Linked DNA regions of Caenorhabditis elegans. The protein of the gene in region 1 purifies or fractionates together with the protein of each later gene. This does not show direct contact. Each region holds a gene or a part of one and is shown in the gene's direction. Other genes may lie near its edges.

Region 1 (3,755 bases):
GAAATGTTTGGTTTTTTTAAAAAGAATTTTAGATCAGTTTCGCATATTTCAACCTTTTCAATGTATCCAAATATTAAAACCGAAAATGACCTCGAAAGCTGAAGCTCTCCAAAAACTTTAAACTTCAGTTTTTCAGCTGTAACGACAACTGATCATCAGGAAGCCATTGAGGACAGTATTCCAGAATGTGATATGCATAATTCTCATTACAGTGCAAGATCGAACAGATCGAATAGTATTGATTTGATGAGTAGATCTCTCTATGGTGAGTGTCTGTTTGTTTAATGTTTAATCGTCTTTCTTGTATTACAGTAGGCCCAACAGTAGTCGATAGAATTGTTCAACCTCAACTTCTACACTTTGGGGATACTTCAGATGAAGAAAGAACAACATATCCAGCTAGATCATTTTCTGTAGAAGTTCCCGGTTTACCGCTTACAGAAGATCATACAACTGTCTATTTGGATAGTGCTCCACAATCTCACATAGGGTCAAGACACAATTTGATGTCTCAATCTATGTATGGAACACTTTGTGGCACGTTAGCAGAGGAACCAAGTTCAGCTGATGGAGAAGATGATTGGAATGATTTTAGGTATTATTCTGTTTGAAAACTTTTATTATTTTCGTGATCTTTTCAAAAGTGGAGTATGAGAAATTTTGAGAAATGCATTGCTGCCCTAACATGTTCGAATACAAATATTTAAAACATTATAAAAATATAAAAATCACAGAAAAATAATTTAGATTGGTACAATGTATATCTGTACTTTTTTGAGTAGATATAAACCTTTTTTGTTCCTTTTCTAGCTCAATTTTCCAAACACAAAAGTGGTCTCTACCAACCGTTAGGCATGTAGATAGGCCGACGGGCATGAGGTAGGTGTGTTTGACAATGTGCCTACCTACATGGGACCCAAAAAAAACCAAAAAAAAAACGAATCAAAAAACAAAATTTGACTTTAATTTAAATCAATATACATTCTATATTTTTAGCATAGAAGAAGATCGAGTTATGGTTCAAATGCCTCTAGCAGCTTCTCACAGAATGTACCAAAGTATGCATGAGGGAATGGTTATAGAAATGAAACGACCACCTGTAAGTGATTTCCTTTGCTTAATGTGAGCATAAAGTATCTTCAGGTATACGGTAGAAGTGTGAGCATGCCACGCCGGCGAGCAACAAATCTCACAACGCGAGCAAGTTCAATGAGCCCCGCAAGAGAGCAGAGACTCACAAAGATAATGTCAGCAGTTTCGGTTTTACTTGATGAACTTGACACTGATGGTCTTCGGCAGGTTGTTGATGAAGCACAGAGAAGACTCAAGAAGCAAAGATAATTTCACATTATTGTTGAAATAGAAGTTTATGGATTCTATAAATATTTGATTCTTGAAAATTTTCACGAATTGTAAGAAAACTGTTTTAAAACAAACCAATCTGCACAATCCTTTCCCTTTGAACATAAAAGTTTAATAAAAACTACAGAAAAAATTAATTATGAAAAGAACGTTTAATGAAATTTGATTCTTTAAAAAATAAAGTGTGATTAGAAATACAACTTGAAATGTTTCCCTTCTTTACAGACTGAATTCCCATGAAACATATTGCATCTATTGTATATAAAGGTCAAGAAACAATTGTTTCTTTCATTTTAGCTTCATTTCAGCTCCCTCCGATAAGTTTTTCATATGCTACTTCGTTTCATTCTACAGACATAGATCGAGAAAAAAACAGTGCATTTGTCTGTGACTTGTAAACAACGTGACTCACGAGCCTTGTCTCGCGCGTACAAGCAGGAAATACAACATATGTGAATTGTGAATCTAATTGAATCAAATTTATGAGATTTTTTATTTTTATTTTCTTCTTTATTCTATCTTTTTGTGTTCTGCTATAATGTACAGTTCGTAAAAGTAGTTACGTGGAAATTAAATTAATTCTAGGTCACGCGATTCGTGTTCCACAAAACACCACATTTCTCAGCAACTTTCAATCACGTGTTGTCCCTGTCTTTTTATTTTTTATAAATTTAATGTTTGTCTTATAATTTAATTAATCTGATTTAGTATTTAATATTAAATTTCTACATTTCCGGAATGCGTCAAGGAGGAGGAGGAGGCGAGAGAATGGTATCTGTCCTATTCTTATTGCTAATACATTTGGCATTGTGCCAAGCAAAATGTGTGATGACGGAATGTGACGGAGAGGAGGATAGCAACCATCCACCATGCAAGACTAACAAGTCAAGTGAGTTTTTTAGATTTTAGATTTTTCTGTCTTTTGAGTAACTGGAGCCTAGTTGGCAACATCCACTTTTCGTTGTGGAACTTTTTTTTTCAACTTAAGCCCAAATTTGATTCAATATCTTATGGTTTTAGGGAGCTTCAGTAAGTGTGGTGAGTGGTGTAGACTAGGACTTTGAAATAATTTCTAATATTACCGAAAAATGCCTTTAATTAATTTTTTCCAGCATATCTACCAATCACCGTGACACGGTCTCTAAATCCAACTTATATGGCTCGATTCGAAAAGTACTGCTCGTATCTTGTACAGGAAGAGGATAAAGCTCAAGTCTGCTGTACAGAACTGCAATTAAAAGGAATGACTGATCGAATTTCTAATGCTGCTACAATCCTTGGATCTTGTCCCAGTTGCTTCGACAATTTTGCAAAACTCTGGTGTCAATTCACTTGTTCCCCAGATCAATCAAAATTCATGAAGGTAATGGAAACGACTGGTCCGAAAAATGTCGTGGTTAAAATGGAGTTCAAAGTGAATCGAGATTTTGTGGAGGGATTGTACGAGTCATGCCGTCATACGTGGTTTGCCAATGGACTTGCTCTTCGATTGATGTCTCTTGGTGGAAAAGTCTCTTTTGAAAACTTTTATGGATTTATGGGAACGAAGAATCTTGCACAGAGTATTCCAATAAACACCGAGTTTCAGTTTTCTCGAATGAAAGTTAGTCGTTCAAAAAAAAGAAAAAGAAAAGAAGAGTATTTAGTAACGCAGTTGGTTTCAGAACGCAATGAATATTCCAACAACACCATGTCACAAATCAGCTGGCCCCAAAGTTCCAGCTTGTGGAGCTATTGATTGTCCAACAAATGCCCATCAACTTGTAGATATCTCCAAAGTTGAACATGTAAGTAGTGAATCAATTCAGCATATTTAAAGGTTATCAAAGCCTTTCCGTTTCCTCACTCACTCCGTCGGAATGCATAGAGGCGCACTTTGATTCCTCAACCGGATCAAGTGTTATAAAGTAATTTTCAGCTCGGAACGAAAGTGTTCCATCCTCACTTCCCAGACTTTGAATGGTTACTGAAAATCTGCGGATGCCTCGCACTTACAGTCCTCCTGGTCTTCATTCTTAAATATTCTTGTCATAGACGATCAGCGCCTAATGGTGAAGATGGATGTTACGTGGATTTGGGAAAAGGAAATTTGGAAGTTCAATTTGAAGGACTTTGTGCTCGATATGCAAATGTTAGTTAGATCCCCCTAGTAATACAAATAAATTCCAGTAATTGTCAGGCTGTAATTAAACATCCATTGATATTTGTTTCACTTGGACTTATTGTAGCTGCAGCTTGTTGCTCTGGAAATTTCAAATTTCACAGTCTCACGCATTCAGTTGATCAAGTTTCGGCTGCCGATGGAGAAACTAGACGGAACGAGAAAAAATTCATCCATTCTTTCGGGTTAGTTTATATTTTTCCCCATTTTTTTCAAAGATTTTACTAGTTCA
Region 2 (3,755 bases), on another chromosome or scaffold:
TTTCACTTATGACCAGGAGTACTTAAAATCTCTTGCTAAGTTTGTATTTGCAAATCAACTACTTCATCCTTATTCTTGAATGAAGTTGATTTATTTTTTAGTTTCGGGTTTTTTCTAAAATTCTAAAAAATCATAAAATATAAAAAGTGGAAAGATCAAAAGAATCTTTAAAAGTGCATCCATGTCTTGGCTTTTTTTTGCCGCGCAGCAACGCTTCTCTCTTCCCTCGCGTTATCTGTAGTTTCTTCCTGTCACTTCCAATCACTCGGGGGGTCGAGCAGCGACGATAGCGACGACATATGTGTGTTTTTTAGTTGCTAGTCCGTGGTGACCCAAAGACGGGCAGTGAATCGTGATTTCGAGTGATTAGACTGATAACCGAGCCGGAGAATAGAGAAAATGGAGGCTCATCCTCGCGACCCGGCGCGCAGTTCGACACGCCATGTTCTTTATTTTCCACCCGGAGCAACTAGCCTACCAAATATAGACATGACATGAAGTGCGGACCGCCCATAAGACTACCTTATCCTTGTGCCTCCTTCATTGAGCAAGCTAAAAAGTGGCACTCACCGTTCATTCTTGCATTATCTGAAGGTCCAGGAGCCGCATCTTATCAATTTATTTATTTCTGGTGAACGTTTTTTTTTCAATTTGAAATACTAGAAGTTATCTATCATTTGTAACAAATATTATAATAGAGCCACATCTTAGTTCTTATGATGCTTTTATTTAAAACATGTATATTATTTAAAAAATGTAATTTAATTTTGAATTATATTAATACTAAACTGACAAATATTTGTTTTTTGAGATACCACTAGTATCTATAAACAGTATGCGGTTTTGTAATGTTCTCGTTCTTTAAAGCAAAACTAAGATTGCAAATGTTTCGATTCTAGAGACTATTACTAAAATTCTTTCAGCAAGCACTTTCAATTCATAAATAAAATAATTTTTCTTAAGTAAACCGCATTAAAAATTTTCTTGTTATCTCCTATCCCACGTGGTGTCAGGCTGTCCTATTACGGTTTGATCTACGAAAAATGCGGGAATGTTTCGCTCAGAAAAATGTGACGTCAGCACTTGTACACCATGCAAAATCAGGTGAGACCTCTGCGTATCATTACCCGCATTTTTTGTAGATCTACGTAGATCAAACCATAATGGGATACTCTGGCACTATCCTTTTTAAGTTATTTTCAGTAAATTTTACTAGTTTCAAAAATACTTCTCAATTTTTAAATGGTTTTATAAAATGTGAACTTTTTCAAACTGAGATATGCAAATATATGTAGAGCAAAAAAATAGATACCAATTTAGCTAAAATATGTTAAAACTACACTGTACCTAGACATTAAAACCTACCTGCCTAGAAACCTACCTAGACTGCCTAGACATTAAAAAATGGCCGAAAAAAAACCTCCGGGCAAACCTTAGACGACACGGATTTTCCGTTGTGTTTCCCAAGTTTTTTCATCTATTTGGCAGTGTCCTTCCTCCCCGTCGTCCGTCAACAATTGTTCGTCCAGGTGTAGTGACCACTGCGAAACGCACTTTTTTGTTGGCTCATTTCAAAACAAACACACACACACACACACACACACACACACACCGAGACGGACAGCGGGGTGCTACGATAATGGCTAGAGACCAGAAAAACTGGAAAAAGAGCAAAAAACCGGAGAATCAAAGGGGGACTCTCATTCATTGCTCACCCTTTCCCCCTTTATTAGGCGGCTCCTTTTGCGCGAACCGAACATGGTGGTCATCTTGAACAGTTGATTCAATTTAAATTTCGTTCTTAGCCCTCGGATTTCGTTTCTTCTCATCACGCTTAGAAATATAAAAAGGGCGAACAAATGTTTGTTCAGTGCCATTTCTCTGTTTTCCTGAAGGTTCGATCTGCCTGTCCAGTGCTCGCTGAGCATATTCCTTTCATTTTTATTGTGTTTTCATTCTTCCTATTTCCTCACTTGTATTGAATCATGCATTTGCAATACTTTTTCTTTTTCTTCCAGGTATCGGTGCACAATGAGAGAATACGTGCTGATATTTCTAGTAGCCCCAGTTTTTGCAGCCATCTTGGGTCCATATGATATTCCACCAGAGCTGCCACCTCTGAACGATGAAAACTTTGTAAGTTGGTTGTTGCTGATAGCTTATTATTCTGAAAAATTTTTTAAATTTTAATTTTACTGATTTTCCAGTTTGACCGTTCCCACTCTGAATATGAAACTGTGCTCACCCCAGAAGACTTTGAGCTCGGAACTCGCATCACCGCTGCAATGGCTCACGACAACGGCGACGACATCTGGGATTCGGATGCCATGTACAGCAAAGACAGATTTGAAGGAGATATCGCTAATGATAATGTTAGTTCTTTCCTTAAAGGATCCGATAAAAAATTTTTGTTTCCAGCTCAATGCTTCTACTGCTGAGCTTTTTGCGAATGGTGGCTCCGGAAAGTCTGAAGACGGAAAGTGGTATAACGCTATCAAAAACCGACTTCAACTTTGGCCAGAGGGCAGAATCCCATACACGATTTCGTCTCAATACAGCTCTTACAGGTTCGTATTTCTAAGATCATAAGACGATCTTTTCAAGTGTCGCATCCGGTCAAGCCAGACAATTCTATTGGTACTTTTTTGTATTAGCAAAGAGCAAACAATCACAGAGAAAACATGAAATTTGATGCGCGCCTTTTGTGGAGTACAGTTTGAGAGATTGTCCAGAAACTTGAAAATCAAACAACAAAGATCAACAATTTATTTTTTGCAGTCGTTCTCTGATAGCTGCGTCTATGCAAGAGTATGCATCACATACTTGCATCAGATGGGTTCCAAAAGAGGCAGCTGATGTCAACTACGTCCACATCTACCCAGACAGAGGATGTTACTCGATGGTGGGAAAGATGGGTATGAACTAGAAATATATTTCTTAGCGACTAATCACAAACTGTTAAGGAGGAAAGCAATCGCTATCACTTGGTTCTGGTTGTATTCAAAAAGGAATCATTCTTCACGAGTTGATGCACGCCGTTGGTTTTTTCCACGAACAATCCCGAACTGATCGTGACGATCATATCACAATTATGTGGAACAATATTCAAGCAGGAATGCAGGGACAGTTCGAGAAGTACGGCCACGGGACTATTCAGTCATTGGGTACTGGTTATGATTACGGAAGTATTATGCATTATGGAACAAAGGCTTTCTCGAGAAATGGACAACCAACTATGATTCCTAAGAAGAATGGAGCCACTATTGGACAGAGAAATGGGTTCTCAAAAGTTGACAAATTTAAGATCAACACTCTTTATGGATGTCCAGTTGGTATGTTTACATCAATTCTCATTAACTTATTCAAGAAGTTAAATGTAACATTTTCAGAAGGAGAAAAACCAACCACCTCCGCTCCAACATCGGGACCAATCGTTATCACTGTGAAGCCAGTTGTTATAACAACCGGAAAGCCGCCAGTCATTCAAACAGTTTCCCCAGCCGTCCCATTGAAGCCAAGCGAGTGCAGAAATCTTAGAGGAGATTGTGATGACCTTGCTAAACAAGGTTCGCTGAAAATAAACTTTGAAAAAAACCTGAAAATGTGTTTTTTTTTCAGGATGGTGCATCAGAAATCCAGGTTGGATGCGTGCCAACTGCCCAATTTCATGTGGAATGTGCATTCCAACCAAGGAAACTCAGAAGCCATATGTCCAAACTACGACCCAAGCTGCGACTACAACCGCCAGACGTAAT

What was found. The genes of interacting proteins can lie anywhere in the genome.
Region 2: the proteins of ncr-2 (region 1) and nas-15 fractionate together in Caenorhabditis elegans (co-fractionation; one large-scale study listed by BioGRID). This does not show direct contact.

Annotation. Positions count from the first base shown.
Region 1 is NC_003281.10:8,256,245-8,259,999, forward strand, and holds the start of ncr-2 (NPC intracellular cholesterol transporter 1 homolog 2), read left to right. Parts: upstream 1-2,100; coding exon 2,101-2,251; intron 2,252-2,474; coding exon 2,475-2,965; intron 2,966-3,026; coding exon 3,027-3,149; intron 3,150-3,280; coding exon 3,281-3,493; intron 3,494-3,541; coding exon 3,542-3,708; intron 3,709-3,755. Other genes in the region: F09G8.5 (leucine-rich repeat domain-containing protein), read left to right, coding at 137-265, 313-595, 997-1,099, 1,144-1,341. UniProt on the Caenorhabditis elegans protein: Involved in the uptake or utilization of cholesterol. Ncr-1 and ncr-2 act redundantly to prevent dauer larva formation under favorable growth conditions, and are required for the normal functioning of ADF, ASI and ASG neurons.
Region 2 is NC_003284.9:775,703-779,457, forward strand, and holds the start of nas-15 (Zinc metalloproteinase nas-15), read left to right. Parts: upstream 1-2,018; 5' UTR 2,019-2,031; coding exon 2,032-2,136; intron 2,137-2,207; coding exon 2,208-2,372; intron 2,373-2,418; coding exon 2,419-2,567; intron 2,568-2,778; coding exon 2,779-2,915; intron 2,916-2,963; coding exon 2,964-3,332; intron 3,333-3,389; coding exon 3,390-3,566; intron 3,567-3,618; coding exon 3,619-3,750; intron 3,751-3,755. UniProt on the Caenorhabditis elegans protein: Metalloprotease.